4 linked regions of the Arabidopsis thaliana genome follow. The protein of the gene in region 2 interacts with the protein of the main gene of each other region in a pairwise test. Each region holds a gene or a part of one and is shown on either strand. Other genes may lie near its edges.

The links.
Region 1: the proteins of AT1G08590 (region 2) and PSBR interact in a two-hybrid assay, tested with the Arabidopsis thaliana proteins (one study listed by BioGRID).
Region 3: the proteins of AT1G08590 (region 2) and AT2G29360 interact in a two-hybrid assay, tested with the Arabidopsis thaliana proteins (one study listed by BioGRID).
Region 4: the proteins of AT1G08590 (region 2) and AT2G31710 interact in a two-hybrid assay, tested with the Arabidopsis thaliana proteins (one study listed by BioGRID).

Annotation. Positions count from the first base shown.
Region 1 is NC_003070.9:29,734,218-29,737,510, forward strand, and holds PSBR (photosystem II subunit R), read left to right. Parts: upstream 1-1,734; 5' UTR 1,735-1,867; coding exon 1,868-2,027; intron 2,028-2,118; coding exon 2,119-2,177; intron 2,178-2,263; coding exon 2,264-2,319; intron 2,320-2,416; coding exon 2,417-2,564; 3' UTR 2,565-2,792; downstream 2,793-3,293. Other genes in the region: RECA1 (recA DNA recombination family protein), read right to left, coding at 2,867-2,989, 3,112-3,184, 3,292-3,293.
Region 2 is NC_003070.9:2,716,942-2,722,845, reverse strand, and holds AT1G08590 (Leucine-rich receptor-like protein kinase family protein), read right to left. Parts: upstream 4,309-5,904; 5' UTR 3,988-4,308; coding exon 898-3,987; 3' UTR 566-897; downstream 1-565.
Region 3 is NC_003071.7:12,601,774-12,605,805, reverse strand, and holds AT2G29360 (NAD(P)-binding Rossmann-fold superfamily protein), read right to left. Parts: upstream 2,040-4,032; 5' UTR 1,958-2,039; coding exon 1,866-1,957; intron 1,664-1,865; coding exon 1,456-1,663; intron 1,372-1,455; coding exon 1,155-1,371; intron 1,076-1,154; coding exon 969-1,075; intron 877-968; coding exon 685-876; 3' UTR 507-684; downstream 1-506. Other genes in the region: SAG13 (senescence-associated gene 13), read right to left, coding at 3,584-3,772, 3,871-3,977. UniProt on the Arabidopsis thaliana protein: Oxidoreductase active on cyclic ketones, but not on tropinone or nortropinone.
Region 4 is NC_003071.7:13,481,216-13,484,832, forward strand, and holds AT2G31710 (Vacuolar ATPase assembly integral membrane protein VMA21-like domain-containing protein), read right to left. Parts: upstream 1,979-3,617; 5' UTR 1,818-1,978; intron 1,685-1,817; 5' UTR 1,681-1,684; coding exon 1,584-1,680; intron 1,063-1,583; coding exon 842-1,062; 3' UTR 543-841; downstream 1-542. Other genes in the region: AT2G31700 (uncharacterized protein), read left to right, coding at 166-353.

The sequences.
Region 1 (3,293 bases), about 27 Mb from region 2:
GTCGATTGGAGAGGGGGACACTGTAAGATTAAAGCTTGAGAAACCCTAAAAGAGAAAGACAAACTTTCAAAAAGTTCTTCGAGGAGAGAGAGACGACAAAGTTTCGCGTATATAGAGAGAGAGAAGAAGACAACAAGATATAATCCATTGAGAAGAAGGCAACAGTATAATTAAGTCGTTAATCATTATTAATTAGCATTGTTTTTGGCTAATTAATTAGCGTTATTAGTCGTTGTTAAATGACCTTACTTACTTACTGGAGTAGTCTAATTTTTTCTGGGTCCCACTTTACTTCCAAGAGTGTGAAATCACCTGCGGCTGGTCCTACTATACCATAAAGTCAAAACCGGACCGGTTCAGTTCTGTAAATGTTGAATTCTAAGCAATGGATTTAAGTATTTAACCGAACCGACTCTTTAAAAAATTGCTGTTCGACAAGTTTATACAATTATTACTGTTCAATTCTTCATTTGGCATTATATGATATATCGATTTAGTTGTGACTTTTGAGCATGTGTTTTTTTTTCTGATTCTAAAGTTGTTTTGGAAAAGATTGTTTGTTTTCATTTGACATTATATAGTTAAGCATGTTCTGTTATCTGTATACAAATCATCGTGCTTGTGGTTTTGGGATTATGTGAAGTAATACAGCAAAGATGCGTAATTTATTTTAAGTATCAAAATTATTCTCTTATCCACATTGTATATAGTCAAAATATATATTACAGACTGAATTAAACAGACTTAATAATAGGCAAAATGTACATATATTTGCATTAGAAGATTTCAATATATGTGTTTTTTTTCTTTCAGAAAGGTCATTTGACTCATAAGTTATAACAGCTAGCTTATATAGTCCTTAGTCCTTACTCATGAAAAAAGAATAATTTGTTTTGTTATTTGGGGTCTACTACTAACATTAGAAGCAGACGTGGGATTTAATTTGATTTATTAAAATTGTGGTGGGTAATATTTAGACTGAATCTATGAAATCGATAGCTTGTAACCTTACTCACTCTCAATTTAATTATATTAGTTTTGTTTCTCATCACGACTGAGACGTGTAACGAATATATCGACTGATCAACCACTAGTTATTAATTTAAACGACTTTAATTTGTATTAATATCATATCTTAATGACTTGAGTAGAAGAATAATAGAATAAGCATAGAAAACATTGACCAAATCCTTGTGTACGATACAATCATGTATTATATACAGATTTATTTGTTACTAGTAAATATGATTAGAACTTGCATTAGACAATGGTCAAGTTTGTTGATGTTTCCAGTTATGGAGAAGCCATAATTTGAGTAGCATTAGACATTGATTAATCAAGAAAAGAAAAATAATATCATCTACTAGTGTCAACACTACAGACGCAGCGAGCGAGCAATTATAGACGCAGTATCTAAACGCTGATCGGTGTACGAATTTGCGGTTCATTTCAACGCTTGGCAAAATTCACAACGTGGAAGACATTGCGAGTTTACGACAAACTAGTGGGGTTGTTTTAAGTAAACTAAAACTTGTAGGGGTTTTCTCAAAAATAAAATAAAATAACTTGTAGGGGTCACAAATGAAAAATAAAAAGTATTGAATATCCTACGTGGCATTTGTTTTTTTCATCTCCTACGTGGCATTACGAAATGAAGAAAAAACTGATCTGACGGATCTGCTTAACCAGTTGAAGATAACGTTAGTAAGGAAGATATCCAGACCAAAGCCACACAACATTAGCCACGTGTCATAACCACAATCACTTACCGGATCTTCTCTCCCTCGTATTTGAAGCCACACAACATGAACATTAGGGTGAGAAGAGATCGAGAGAAGAATAGTTTGATCATCTTGTGAGAAAAATAATGGCTGCTTCAGTGATGCTATCTTCGGTGACATTGAAACCAGCTGGTTTCACGGTGGAGAAGACGGCGGCTAGAGGATTACCGTCGCTCACAAGAGCTCGTCCCTCCTTCAAAATTGTCGCCAGTGGCGTCAAGAAGATCAAGACCGACAAGCCCTTCGGTTCGTTTATATTATTATTACACAGACTTTTACAACATATACACGTTACCGTTCATGTATAGCTTATTTCCGTTAATCGATGTGTGTGTAGGAATTAACGGCAGCATGGACTTGAGGGACGGCGTCGACGCCTCCGGCAGAAAGGGCAAGGTTTGTAGTAACTGAAAACGGTGTTGTTTAATATCCTTTTTAATAATAATTTGGTGGGTTCTCTAAACAATGACGTATAATCGCAGGGATACGGTGTTTACAAGTACGTCGACAAGTATGGAGCTAACGTCGATGGATACAGGTGAATTAGAATTATCATCCTCCATAACATTTTTTGTAGATAAGAAAGAACCATGGATTACGTAGTAGATGATTGATTTTTAATGTTTGGGTTGCAGTCCTATTTACAACGAGAACGAGTGGTCAGCGAGTGGTGACGTGTACAAGGGAGGAGTCACCGGATTGGCAATTTGGGCGGTAACTCTCGCCGGAATTCTTGCCGGAGGTGCTCTTCTTGTGTACAACACAAGTGCTTTGGCTCAGTAAATCTTAAAGTTGTTAGCGCATGTGTAATCATGTTTCTATAAATGTTTCTGTGTTGTTCTCTTTCTCTCTAATGTTGTAAAACTCAGACATACTTTGAATTTATAAGACTTCTAGTGTTTGTATATATATTCATCTTCCTATCCTTTATGATTTCCATGCACAAGAATGGTTTCGGATTTAAGACTGAACCATATGAGTGTTTTTTTTTAATTGATGAAACTTGAAACAAGAGGTGAACATGATGAGAGAAAATCAAGTGTTGTACATCCATAGATCCGAAAGTCTCAAGCTTAAGTGTTATGTCATTGGAAATCGTCAAGCGAGTCTTCTTCTTCTTCTTCGCGATGTGAAGCCGAGGAAGAGCTGCTGCTCATCAAAGGAGTTGATCGATGAACTTCTCCATCTAACATCAACAATCTCACTTTCTGCAACACCATTGCCAACGTAAGGAGGACGAATTGATGCAAAAAAAATTACGTTCTTGTTAAAAGGATGGATTTTTGCAATCTTCAGAGATGGGTTAAGATTAAGAATAGAGGAAGCAAACCTTCTCAATTTCGTCTTGAAGAGCAGGGTTTTCCCTTAAGTGCTGCAGTGCTTTCTCTCTTCCTTGCCCGAGCCTGAAAACAGAGACCCAAAACACAACCATATCTCATACTCTGTACCCACTTCTATAACATAATCAAAAGTCTTCAGGAATTATGAGTTTTCAATGTAGAATCCAAACCT
Region 2 (5,904 bases):
GAAAAAGAATTAGAATATAATTAAAATTTATGTTTAATTTTGCAATTTTGATTTGTATTTTATTAGTTATTTTCTAAAGTTATATTTTTTTTAGGATTGTTGTCACTGAAAATTTTAATATGTTTAACCAGCCTAGGGTTATTTTTTCTCTGTTGGCATATGTAGTTTTACCATTTTTTATAAAATTTTATGATAACAAAAAGAAAAAAAAAAGAAGAAGAAGGTAACTTGACCATTTGCTGTATATTTAATTATCTTTTGTCCCCAAAAAAATTTATATAACCATTTGGTATATATAGCAAACTCATATTTAGCATGAAAAACCAATAATTGTATTCACTCTATTTTGAGTATATCAGAGATTATTGCCAAAGACTGATTCTCATAATTACAAAATCTCGTTTTTGGATATTTGACTTTGTCATATATAGACTATAGTTGATGTAAGCAATTGCGAATCAAAAATTTTAACCGGAAATGGAAACAAATTCAGAATAGAAGAAATTAATCAAGAACATATACAATATATTTAACTTATATTTCGTTCATAAAAATTCATTTATAGAAAAAAATCAAATTTTTTTATTTATAATTATTGTATCATAAAAGATAATATTTCTCTGTGAATTGAAAGATTAATATTCCATTAAAACAAAACTAATTAAAATCTTTATTTATTATTTTTTTAGCCTCTGGTAACTACAATTTGCTGGATCAGCCATCAACAAGGGGCCTATTACAATTTTGAATCATGTCATTTGGTTCAATGGGCTTTAGTGCACCCATCAGATTTGAAAACATGGGTTTTTGATTCAGCCCAAAGTTAACTTGTTAGCCCAATGTTAAAATTAGCCCCAGCTGATGAAATGACAAAACTACCCTTATCGCCTCCGTCATCTAAATCAGCCCTACCACTGGCGAGTTTCTGAAAATCGGCAAATCCCCGGCGACTTGGCAAACACTTTTCCGGCGTGGCTTCGCCTCCGCGAGCATTGTGATGACGTCTCTAATCGATGGTCTATCCTTCGGTAGCTTCGCGGTGCAGAGAAGAGCGATTCGCAGTGCCAGGAGCATCTCTTCGATCACGTGTTTACAATCTCCGGCGATGCTCGCGTCGATCACTTCTTCCAAGCTCTCGTTCTTCTTCACCTTCCTCCGAATCCACTCAACCACGTCAATCGAATCCTCAAACGAAGGATCTATCGGCATTTTCCCAGTCACCAATTCCAGAAGCACAACGCCTAGACTGTATATATCACTCTTTTCGTCAATCTTCAGTGTGTATCCGTACTCCGGCGCTATATACCCGTAAGATCCAGCCACCATAGAAACGGTCTCGTTCTTATGAAGCATCATCTTCGCCAATCCGAAATCTGCTATCCTCGCTTCAAGGTTTGAATCGAGGAGGATGTTATTAGACTTGATGTCTCTGTGAATGATCGGAGGATAGCAATCGTTGTGCAAGTAATTGAGACCTTGAACGACTCCGACGGCGACATTGTATCGTGAGAGCCAATCTCTTAGTAAGAATTTCTCATCTTTGGAATGCAAAGCAGTTCCTAGGTTTCCATTGGGCATGTACTCGTATACCATCATCACTTCTCTCTCGTTGTGAACGTAACCTAGAATCTTCACAATGTTTCTATGTCGTAGACCACCAAGTAGGTTCACTTCTCTGAGTATGTCGTCCTCTTCATCTTCTTCTTGATGATGATCTTCGATATCATTTTGTGGTGATGGTGATCTCCACAGTTTTTTCACAGCTACAGTGAGTAATGGCCGTCTCATGACTTCTGCTTTGTAAACAATCCCTATGGCTCCCATTCCAATGATGTTTGATTCTTTGATATGTGATAAGATGTCTCCTGCAGTGAAGCACAGTCTCTGGAAAGCCACGAGTCTCCATGGCCATTCCTCCCGAGGTTTCTTGCAGAATATATACTCTCTAGCAAAGTTGCTGTAAAGATCCCATCTTGTGTATATCCATCTCCCTGCCAAGAACATCATCCCCATAGCCACGATGACTGAAGTTCCAACAATGAACCCGAAGACTGCGTGATTCACGTGAATTCTCCCTGGATTTCGGCCTTTTGCTGACAAAGCTAGGCTCTTAGAGCAAGGTGGTAGAACTCCACCGCATAAGCCATTGTTTCCCACGAGGTCTTTTGGGTCTATGGCTGCAAACAGCATGTTTGAAGGAATGGGTCCGTCGAGTTTGTTGAATGACACGTTTAACATCTCCAGTGTTGGAGAAGCTCCCAAGTCCGCTGGTATATTCCCCGTCAAAGAGTTGTTTGAGAGATCAAGAACAGCTAACATGTGCATCCCGGCTAATGCCTTAGGGATTTCTCCAACCAATTGGTTGCTCTTGAGATTTAGACTCACAAGTTTTTCAAAAGAAGCGATCCTTTCTGGGATTCCACCTGAGAAATGGTTGAAGGAAAGATCGAGGACAGACAAAGATGGACGATCTTGAATCTGGTTAGGAATTTTTCCGGCAAAGTTGTTATGTGAGGCAATGAAGGTTTGAAGATTAGGACTTGAGAAAATGGAGGAAGATAGGGATGAGAGATGATTAAATGATATGTCTATAAATGAGAGTGATGTGGATAAGGCTATATCATCTGGAATTTTACCGGTGAGGTTGTTTTTTGCGAGCTCTAGATGCTGAAGCATTGGTAAGTCACCTGAACCAGCTGGTATAGATCCGGAAATGTGATTTTTCTGGATTCGAACACGAACTAAAGTCGGACATGAGAAGATTTCCTCCGGAATCTGACCTGAGAATGAGTTGTTGAAGAGAATGAGCTTTGTGAGGTTTCTGGAATAGCACAATCCTGATGGTATATCTCCTGAAAGCTTGTTTGATGAGACGTCTAACCACTTCAATGGGGAATTTTTGCCGAGATGCACCGGTAATGAACCCATGAGAGAGTTCTGCCACAGCTCAAGAACCTCAAGGTTTGGTAATTCAGCAATTTTTGACGGAATGATTCCCGTGAGTTGATTCCTCATCAAATTTAGAAGCTGCAGATTCTTCAACTCACCTACTTCCATAGGTATTTCTCCTGTGATCTGGTTATCAGACAGATCAAGAAACACAAGAGAAGTCATACCACCAAGTTCTCGAGGAAGTTTCCCTGTGAGACGGTTCTGGTAGAGATAAACTGTTGTAAGTTGTTTCAGCTGCCCCAAAGAAGATGGAATCTGGCCTGTAAGGTTTCCAACAGCCAAATCAAGGTACTGAAGGCGCGTCAATTTCCCAAACTCTTCTGGAATCTCACCCATGAAGCCATTGTAACCAAGAATAATGGTCTCCAAGGAAGAGAGCTCACCAATCACCTTCGGTACCTTTCCACCAAAGTTGTTACCCGAAAGACCGAGAAACTTCAGATTCTTGAGATTCTTGAAAGAAGAAGGCACTGAGCCCTCGAAGTAACCTCCTCGAAAGTCCAAAACCTCAAGTGTAGTTGCGTTGCCAAGATCTTCAGGTAGAAACCCCGAAAAATTGTTGCTTGAGGCATTGACGTGTGTAAGACCAGTTGCCATTCCTAGACCATAAGGGAAGGTTCCAAAGAAGCTGTTCACACTCACATCAATGACCTTCAAAGACGTGAGATTAGAAAGAGATTTAGGAAGAGAAGACTCAAATGCGTTATTGCTGAGATCAAGGGCTTGCAGAGAAGGGAAGCTCTGAATCTGATCTGACACGTTTCCGCTGAGATTCATGTTGGAGAGAAGAAGCTTAGCCACATAGCCATTTGCATCACAGTGAACTCCTGTCCAATGACAATGAACCAACTCAGAAAATGTTGTGGCATTCTCAGGTCTCTTCCAATCTTGGAGATTATTTGAAGGATCAAAAAGGTCTGACTTGAAGGCCAACAAGATCTCTTGTTCGGAGTTTTGAAATGTTTCAGAAGAAACAAAAGGGAAAAGAGCGAAACCAATGTAATAGAAGAGGAAGAAAAGTCGAGGGATCGCCATTTTTCTCCTCTATTTCTTCACTTTTTGGCTAGTTTTATGGCATTTTTGTGCAACTGAGATTGAAGGTCCCCAAGCGAAGTTGATAATAAGAGAGTGGAAACCAAAAGCTGAAAAACAATGATTAGTCAGAATCTAATTTTATTTAATCTCTCTCAATTATTTTATCATGATTGTGTTTCTTTTTCGTTCGGTGGAATAATATGCGAGTTCCATTGGCGTCATAACAATTTGTATGATAGCAAGTAGTTCGCTTTGTTTCTGCATCTGTGACATTACATAGTAGAAAAAGTGATACAATTTCCTTGATGTTTTCATCTATCTTCGTGTGTTAAATTGTGAATTGTGTTTGAGAAAACGAAATTAGATTATAAGTTTGTTTCATATGCATACCCAAATGCTAAATTGTGAATAAAGTCGAACCGAAAATTTTGAGGAGCACTAATTCCATAACCATATCCTGAAGGATTATCTTGCTGATCTGTGCAATATCAAACAACTAAGCGGTGAGAAAGAAGATTAAAATAATGATAATGGGATATATAATATGAAGAAATCGTGGGTTTCTGAACAGCTAGCTAAATCATAAAACACTGAGTGACTTGTAAAGCTTTGTCCTCATTAGAGATTTGTGGGACAGTGAAACATGGGCAGAGAATGTGTCTCACTTACTGTCCAATATAACTATTTTCTATTCAAAGATGATGGCTAATTAGGCAAGATCAAAGTCTTTTAAGAAAACTACCATTTTAGTTCTACCTCACCAATGATTTGACACAAACAATGTTTTTTTACAAATGATTTAACTTCACTTAAATATGAGTAACTAAAGAACGCAAAGTTTTTATTGGTTATAAGGTTAGTTATATCATCCTTGGCGGTCGAGCTAGGTTGAGTTTCCGCATGTCTTCATTAGTCGGGAGAATGTTTTGTTTCGAATGGCGTCATTAAAAAAACACACATGAAAGATGATGGTCGTGAGAGAATCTTCCCACGTTGTTCCAACATAATTAAAATTAGGAAATAAGAAAGTTCATAACTCCATTGCCAAGTTGCAAGTAGCTAGGAACGTCCCATGACACCTACGTAGAGACTAGAGAGATATACATACATCAAATATATCTACTTACACATGCATTGAAAAAAAAAAATACAAATACATTAATTAAATTATTGCATTCATGTAGACATATATGTTTTTCTAGATCTTATAAACACAGATTTTAATGTTTTTCAAAATACGATTATCAGAATTTTTTTTTCTCTGTATATTAGTTTGAGTTGAGAGATTTAAGGCCATACATATGATATATGCATAAAGTTTGCATATTAATGCATTTTTAGACAAGGAGCTTCAATAAACTATGCATATGACATCAAGACGTAACTGAATATGTAGCCCTAAGTCCGTAACCGAATTTGTTTATATTCGTGTGGTTGCAACTTGTGAGTAAATATGCATGCTGATTGCGTGAAGAACAAAGTAGCATTAAGTGCTCTCACGATATCAAAATAAAGTTTAGAACCATCGAAAAGGGCCATCTATCATTTTTATTTTGTTCTTAAAATCTAAAACATATATATTCGATCGGATATACCCATTAAATGAATGAATCATGTTCACATTAGAAGAATCACCATAATTGATCCCAAAAACTATATGAAACATATTCTCGTGAGTGTATAGACTTTTTGGAGATCGATATCTTAATTAATACATCTAGCACAACTCTATATATTCTTGCGGATTAACATCTAAATTTTACGTACCTCGAGCATATATATCCATTATCGACTATCGAGTATCGACTATCGGTTCGTCCAACACATTTAATTGTTGTAGGTTTGCAAGGTAGATATGGACAGTACCTCTAATTAAAGTTCTTTGTCCTTTCAAATTTATCCTCTATTATCATATTC
Region 3 (4,032 bases), on a different chromosome or scaffold from region 2:
AAAAATGAATGTACAATATAAAAAACGAAAAGGATAAATAATAATTAGACATATGCTTAAACCTTCCAATTTACAGGTTTTTTTAGATGTCAACTGTCATTATAAATTCCAAAGTATCTGTGTTTGGATATATTTTGAAGTCATATACAAACTATTTAAATAATAAAAAAGGCACACTTAGCCTTCGTTTCTTCATTTTCTATACAATCATTTTCATATTGAGATACAACAAATAAAAATGTGAGCACCTGACTTTGATATATGGGACAACAAACAAACATCTAGCGTCAAAACGACCAAATTACTTATGGTTTGTGAGGAAGCCTTAGAAGGCATGTATGGAGAGATAGGCAGCTAGCTCTATCAACATTCAACACATCTCGTCTTAATTTATCAATTCATCTCTCCCCTTTGGTGGGTGATTTAGGACCGCAGGTTATAACTTATCAATGTCTTGAGAATGTAAGAACGTTGGTGGCTTCGTAGTAACAAATTATACTATAATTAAAAAAAAATTAGTATACTTGATCGGTTAAAACACAAAGCATGCATATATTGTGGAGAGTTGGATTACATTCCAAACGCCAATTTTTTTTGTTTGTTTGTGTAATTGTGTTTATGTTTACATATCTAAACAAATTGTAAATGTTAAAAAAATAACGTAAAATGAAAACAATCGACGTCTTAAGGCAGAGGCTTGAAAGAGAAACCATTAACAGTGAAACCTCCATCAACACAAATGGTTTGACCTGTAATATAAGAAGCTGCAGGAAGACAAAGAAATGCCACAAGCGATGATACTTCATTTACTTCTCCAACACGTCCCATTGGTGGTCTACTCTCCACTTCTTTTCTAAACTCCTCATTACTAAGACTCTGAGAGATTTTCAATTTTACTTAATTAAAATTAAAATTGAGAAGTAACAATGTATATAGCTTAGAACTTTCATATTTGTTGCCTTACTTACTTCGGTAACTAAAGGAGTTTCTATGAACCATGGACACACAGAGTTAGTCCTTATGTTGTCACTTGCCCACTCGCACGCTAAGTTTCTTCCTAGCTGATTCATAGCTCCTAAAATACACTTACATTTCGTAAAAATCAGAACGTGATGCATCATTAATCGTTTGAATATACATACGTATAGATTTACCTTTAGATACTCCATATATGGATGCACCATTGACATGTACAACTCCAGATACGGAGGAGATGAGCACGATGCTCCCTGAACCAGAAGCTTTCAACAAAGGATGCGCGAGCTGCGAGAGATGAAAAGCTGACTCGAGATTCGTTGCCATTGTAAATGAGAAATCTTCGGCTGTATGTTGTAAGGTCGGTTTGACTATACACGTTCCCACATTGTTGACCTTAAATATAGATCCAAACCGAAAACTTAAGAAAACACAACATAATCGTTTCCTATATGGATCAAAGCTTAGATATGTACTTACAAGTATGTTGAGTTTTCCTTCGAAGATAGTGGAAACGGTTTCCATGAGCTTCTCTCGTTTATCACGAGAAGAAACGTCGCAGACAGAAGTGGTAACCTGAAACCCTTTTGCTTGCCACTTACGTAAGCTTTCTTGAAGCTGAGTTTCGTCTCTGGCACATGTGTGGATTCTTGCCCCTAACGTAGCTAGTTCCTCAACCACAGCTTCTCTATTAATTGAACACACTTACATTACCAAGCTTATCTATTTTCCAGGATAGGTCGGTTAAACATCGAAGTACAATCATAAGATCCATATAAATCTTTGTTGTTAAAAAAAAAAGATCCATTTAAATCTATAATTGAAATAAGAGCTCAGATTCAATATTGAACTAGTAAGAAAGTAGGTAATGTAGGAGAACTGGAACTGACCCGATGCCTTTTGAGCCACCGGTGACAAGAGCGGTCATGCCTACAAGACTCCATCTAGGTTTGTCTCTCAAGCTTTCCCCTGTCTTAGCCATTTCTGATTATGAACCACAGAACCCAAAGATCTTTTCTTGGAGATCTGAATGTCTGGTAGAGAAAAATCCATAATGAATGAATGATAATGACAGTGTAAGAAAGGCCTTTTCATGTATTTGTTAGGTTAATCAAACAAATGGGCCTCGATTAAGGGTTAGGCCCAACTACATGAGATCGAGACATGTTCATTGTTTGAGAGCAATGTAGGTTTCCTGAATTTTAGTTGCATAGGTGAGAGATTCATCAAGAATATAAATGTGTAAGCAAAGTTGGGTTTATTTTCTTTGGTTGCTTGGAACGCAAGAAAGATGACTTGGAAAGTGATGATGGAAGACAAACCCAATGTCTTTCGTTCCGCCGGTGACAAGAGCGGTCATGCCTTGAAGAATCCATCTGCTCTGTTCTACTTTAGCCATTGTTCTGGATGTTTCTGTTCTTGACTTCTAGTTTGATGACAAATGATAATGGGAAAATGGGTTAGAATAAATGATACGAGGTTAAGAGAATCTTCAAAGAAGTTGTGGAATGATATATATCGTAATTAATGACTTTGTGGCTGAGACAAATTAGAGATCTCAAAGTAATGATAAGACTGAATTAGTTTAGGTTAACATATTTAATTGGGAAAGTGATCATGATGAGTTAATGACGTAACTTATGATGCGTCTTCCAATTTAAAACAAAAGGGGTTTAGCTATATATTATGATGAATCTTTTTAAAGTTAATGAAAATCTAGTAAGTAATATTACATAATGGTTTCGGGCCGAGGATATTCGGGCTCTGAGCCAAAACTTTTTGGTATTCATAAAAACAAAAATAAATAACATAACAGGTTTGGATTCAATCAAACAGATCTGTTTAAATAATCAAAAAAGTTATTCATAATAGTAGTTTATTCTGGATTTATTTTTGTTTCGTCTCATGTAATTAATTTTGGTTTCATTTCTTGGGTGTGAAACAAGTTTCGTTTGATGAAACCTTTACAACTATCTCATAAGAAATGGAAGGATTACTCTTGACTGAAGCCCTAGAATTATACCAGTTTGCGCTTGATGTTAGTTTAGAAAACTGAAAATATCCATTATGTGTCCCAACCAAGCATGCCAATAACACAACCCACCGGTGCTAACCAAAGGCATGGAAGGAAGAGGTAAGTCTTGAATTAACTAAGTGTGGGCCTAACTCACACGAAAAGTTAGTTCAAAAGTGGAGAATTTCCATACACTTATATACTAGTCGACAAGTTTTTAAGTCACGATGTGTGACGAATAGTATTATACGCATGTGGAGAGAATCATAGAAAGACACTTTTTGTCGTCATCTTTGAAAGTTTTATTGAGAAATATTAGACACTGCAAACATATATAACCGGAAAGAACCAAGAGTTAAGTTTGGCCAACTAGTCTGCCGTCAAATTGGTAATATAATTCCCAAATTCATAGATTATGGATGCGGTCCATCCGGAGAGTGAACTCTTGTTCACCACGCAAGCATAAATATCTAAGAATCTCTTAGAAACAGAACATGTGGACACATCTAAATTACATTTATTACATATTGACGATGTATATAACCCGTAAGTTTAAATTATTGAAAATATGATCCAAACACATGCATATGTGTTTTATGGCATAGTCTTGAAGGAAAAACCGTTAACAGTGGCACCGCCGTCAACGCAAATGGTCTGACCAGTAATATAAGAAGCTGAAGGAAGACAAAGAAATGCCACAAGCGGTGAGACTTCATTTGCTTCTCCAACACGCCCCATTGGTGTCGTACGCACCGCTTCTTTCTTAAACTCTTCATCGAAAAACTAAGAGATTTTCACACATAAATTAAAGCCCGAAGTCATATTTACGTATTTTTTTTGTTTTTCATAGTACGAAGGAGAAATATAAACTTTGGCCTTACATCGTTACTTAAAGGAGTTGTGATATACCAAGGACAAACAGAGTTCGTCCTTATGTTGTCGCTCGCCCATTCGCAAGCTAAGTTTCTAGCCAGCTGATTCATGGCTCCTAAAACGAGTTAATATATGTGTAAGCATCATAACCCATGGGAACATATTGTGTT
Region 4 (3,617 bases), on a different chromosome or scaffold from region 2:
TTATTTTTATCCCAAATATATCCAAATGCATATAAATTACTAAAAAATCTAGTATATTCGGATTTATAATTTTAATTTTGGGTGTTTGAGGTATTACAAATATATATATATATATAACTAATATTTTTAACTTTACATTTGTATTCGGGTACCCACGGATATTAGATTCGGTTCGGGTTCGGTTCGGGTTTTTTCGGGTAGTGAAGTGGAGAACCCATTCGGATAATTCTAAAAGTCGGGTTCGGGTTCGGTTTGGTTATTTTTCGGGTTTTTCAGTTCGGGTATTCGGTTCCGGGTATTATGCCCAGGCCTATCTTAAACATATTTGTACTTCTTTGTGGCGTACGTTCTAGACTGTAAATCAGCTTTGTTGTTGAAAGCTATCAACTCCTAAGAGTATGAGAGGCAGATAAGTGCTTTGATCGTAATGATCAAGCTGCTAACCAAAACTGATGAAGAGCACAAGCCAAAGAAGTGTCATTTTTGCCACTGATTGTATAATTCAATATTCGTTTTCTTTATCTAACTTAAACACTCTAAGAAACGAACAAATGTCAAGAGAATGCGGAAGAGAAGTGTGAGAAAAACAGATCAAATTGCTTAAAATTAAACAATTATGGACACAGCTGTTTATGGTTTTTGTGAAATTTTGTCCTACAACATTAGCTATCTTCTCTGTCCAACATGAACATGTCAAAGTTTTTCTGCTCAACTAACCCAAAACTCACAACACAGAATGATCTAGCAACCAAACAATACATTGCAAGAACCTGAGCTCTGCTCCTTCTGATGCAATCTCGACACTGTTCCTTGTTTAACAAAAATGGGATGTGGCAAGCTCTCACTCTTGTTTCTTCAGCGCAGGGTCAGTATTTGTGACTCCTGATGTCAATTTCTTAACACTGTCTTTAGCCTCTGCAACAAACGAAGCGTCTGGCTTGTGTTTATCCGCAGGTTCTTTCAGGGCCAGACAGATGTAAAACACAATAACTACATTGACTGATACCACGGCAAGAAATCCACTCAGTAGTGTCAGAGAATGTGGAGACAACGTTGTTGACCCTGTCGAGATTTAACAGAGCAACACGGTCAATTTCTACAGCATTTACTGTTAGAAACTAAAGCTGGGAAACTACAACAGACAAGCTACGTGAGCCTGAGAGAGAAAGAGAGACATTATGCCAAAAGTACAGTAACCGACTAACAGGCTATCACATGTGTAGATGATCAAACTTCATTACATGAACTACGCGTCAAAGACTAAACTGCCTTTGTTACAAGAAGTAAGGTTACAACCATAGAATAACCTCTTGTAGCATTCCAGCTCCAACTAGTTTCTATGATACCTACAAACTAAGTTCTAATCAAAGAAGTTTGCAGTTTCTAAAAAGTTACAATCAGAATTTCTCTAATCTGCCATCAGATCCCAACAACCAGCTATTCTACTAAACCAAGTTCCACTAAAACTTCAACTACAGAGTTTACACGATTAAGCAAAACTCAAAGTTAGAACCATCAATACAATTAGAGCAATGACACAGATGTCCTCATACATAAGTCAAACCTGGAAATTTTAGCCTTACCAGGAAGCAAATCATTGTTGAATCCATATAATATTGCAATAGGAAGAATCCACATAAACATTGATGCAATAAGGAACTTCTGCATAACCCCAGCCATGGTTCTGCATCCAAATTGTTAAACCACGAATCAACGAAGATGCAAGATGTGGAAAACAGAATACACGAATCTATATATAGGGTTTTCAACAGAATAACCTAAATAACACAAATTAGGCGACAAAAGTAAAACTTTACATTGAATCTGGCGAGTTAACTCGGTCTTGGACTCAATGTCTCTCGCAATTTGCGAAGTCGAGATTTTTTCTTTTCTCTACAGAGTTTCCCTTGTCAATCAAAATCACAAGGAAGCCATTATTAAACCAGAAAGATATACTAAAACCACATTTCAATCCGGCATAAGCCGGTATATTTATTCGGTTCAAGTTCGAAGAAACTACGTGCCGTTTTCTAACCAGAGCATACCGACTACACGTTGTTTTCCACTACCTGGCAGAGTAAATGAACGTGTTCTCTTGTTTGACTTTGGGAAACAAATAAAATGAGTTTCTTTCTCTTCAAGCTAATGTCGATTTGTTTGCAGACTTTTTTTTATCCTGCGTTTTAAATATTTTTCAAGAAAATAGGGAAGGCAATAATAAGCAATGGAGAAGAAGAGGGCAAGATCTTATGTCACCTTTTCAGTATTTGCCTCTTGTGACTAAGTCTTCATCTTTAGTTTGGCCACCTTATGTTGAAGAAGAGCTTCAAACAATGTCTAAGGGGCCGAGTGAGTCAATGGTTAACTCAGGGGAGGCTCGTTAGGTTGCATATCATGAATATGCGGAAATCCCTCTAGCTCCTTGAATGCATCTGATCTTGCACATTATGTGGTACAAGGGTATGTTCTTTTCTTTGACAAGGTAACAATTATTTTTTCCTTTGGTCTACTTTCTTCGTTGTTTGTGTTATCTGATTCATTTTTTCTTAAAGTGGATATTTGGCATGAAGCATAAAGTACTCCCAAACAATTGTTTTGTTTGATGCGGAAAGTTTCTAGAGAAGAGTCTGCTAACTTTTTTGGTGAGGTGATTCCTGGACTGGATTGTGTGAATTTCTTCTCCAATTACCATCCATGTTAGGAATGCACTATCATACGGCAGACCATGTCTTGATGGAGTTATGTCCGGGGAAACCAACACTCAAACTAGTTTCTATGTTTTACGCTAGGATTATTTAGTATGAAAAACTTGCATGCCACGACAATAGAGCAAGAGTCTACAATAAACAGAGATTAGTCACATAGCACAACTGTTTTGGTTGGAATCTCTAGTTACAACCGGAGATGGATGTCCAGCTCTGTGACGGAGACCAGTGAGCCTCCTCCTATTTGCCTCTTGCACAACTTCGCCATGAACATATTGAGCTACGGAAAAAGCTAGTTGAGTATTCTTCAGAGAGCTCAGCAGAGGAACATGGCTTGGCTTCTTATCGTGGCTCATAGGTACGTCACTGCAGTCTACCTAGAGGACCAATTGGGTCAAAGTTATATATTATTTCTGAATTGATTATGTGAGATATATTCATGTCACTGTCTGTTTACTACATTCTTTCGTTATATATATAATTGGTGTGTTCCGACTTCCGATCTTACGAGTTTATATGACTTTCGTTATGTCATTGACTGGTTTGTTCCGATCTTACAAGTGGGAAAGAAAACTTGCCAAAAACAAATATCATCCGTTCAAACAAAAAGGAACTATATAAGGGATGAAAATCAGCACAATCTAAAACAAACTCGTAATGTTAACACTAACACTCAGTATATTGAGCTAAAAGACCCAAAAAAAACACCTAGATAAAAAGGACAAAAATCCAAAAAAGCCATCTTCGAATATAGTTTGAGATGATCAAGAACACAAAGATTTAAGAATAACTCTCTTTATTAGTTTAAGAAATTTACTCAAAACTTAAACTCTCAACTCATAAGTTATACCACATGTTGGTATCTCCTTATATAGAGATCTCTTAAACAATCCTAATCCTAATCCTAATAGA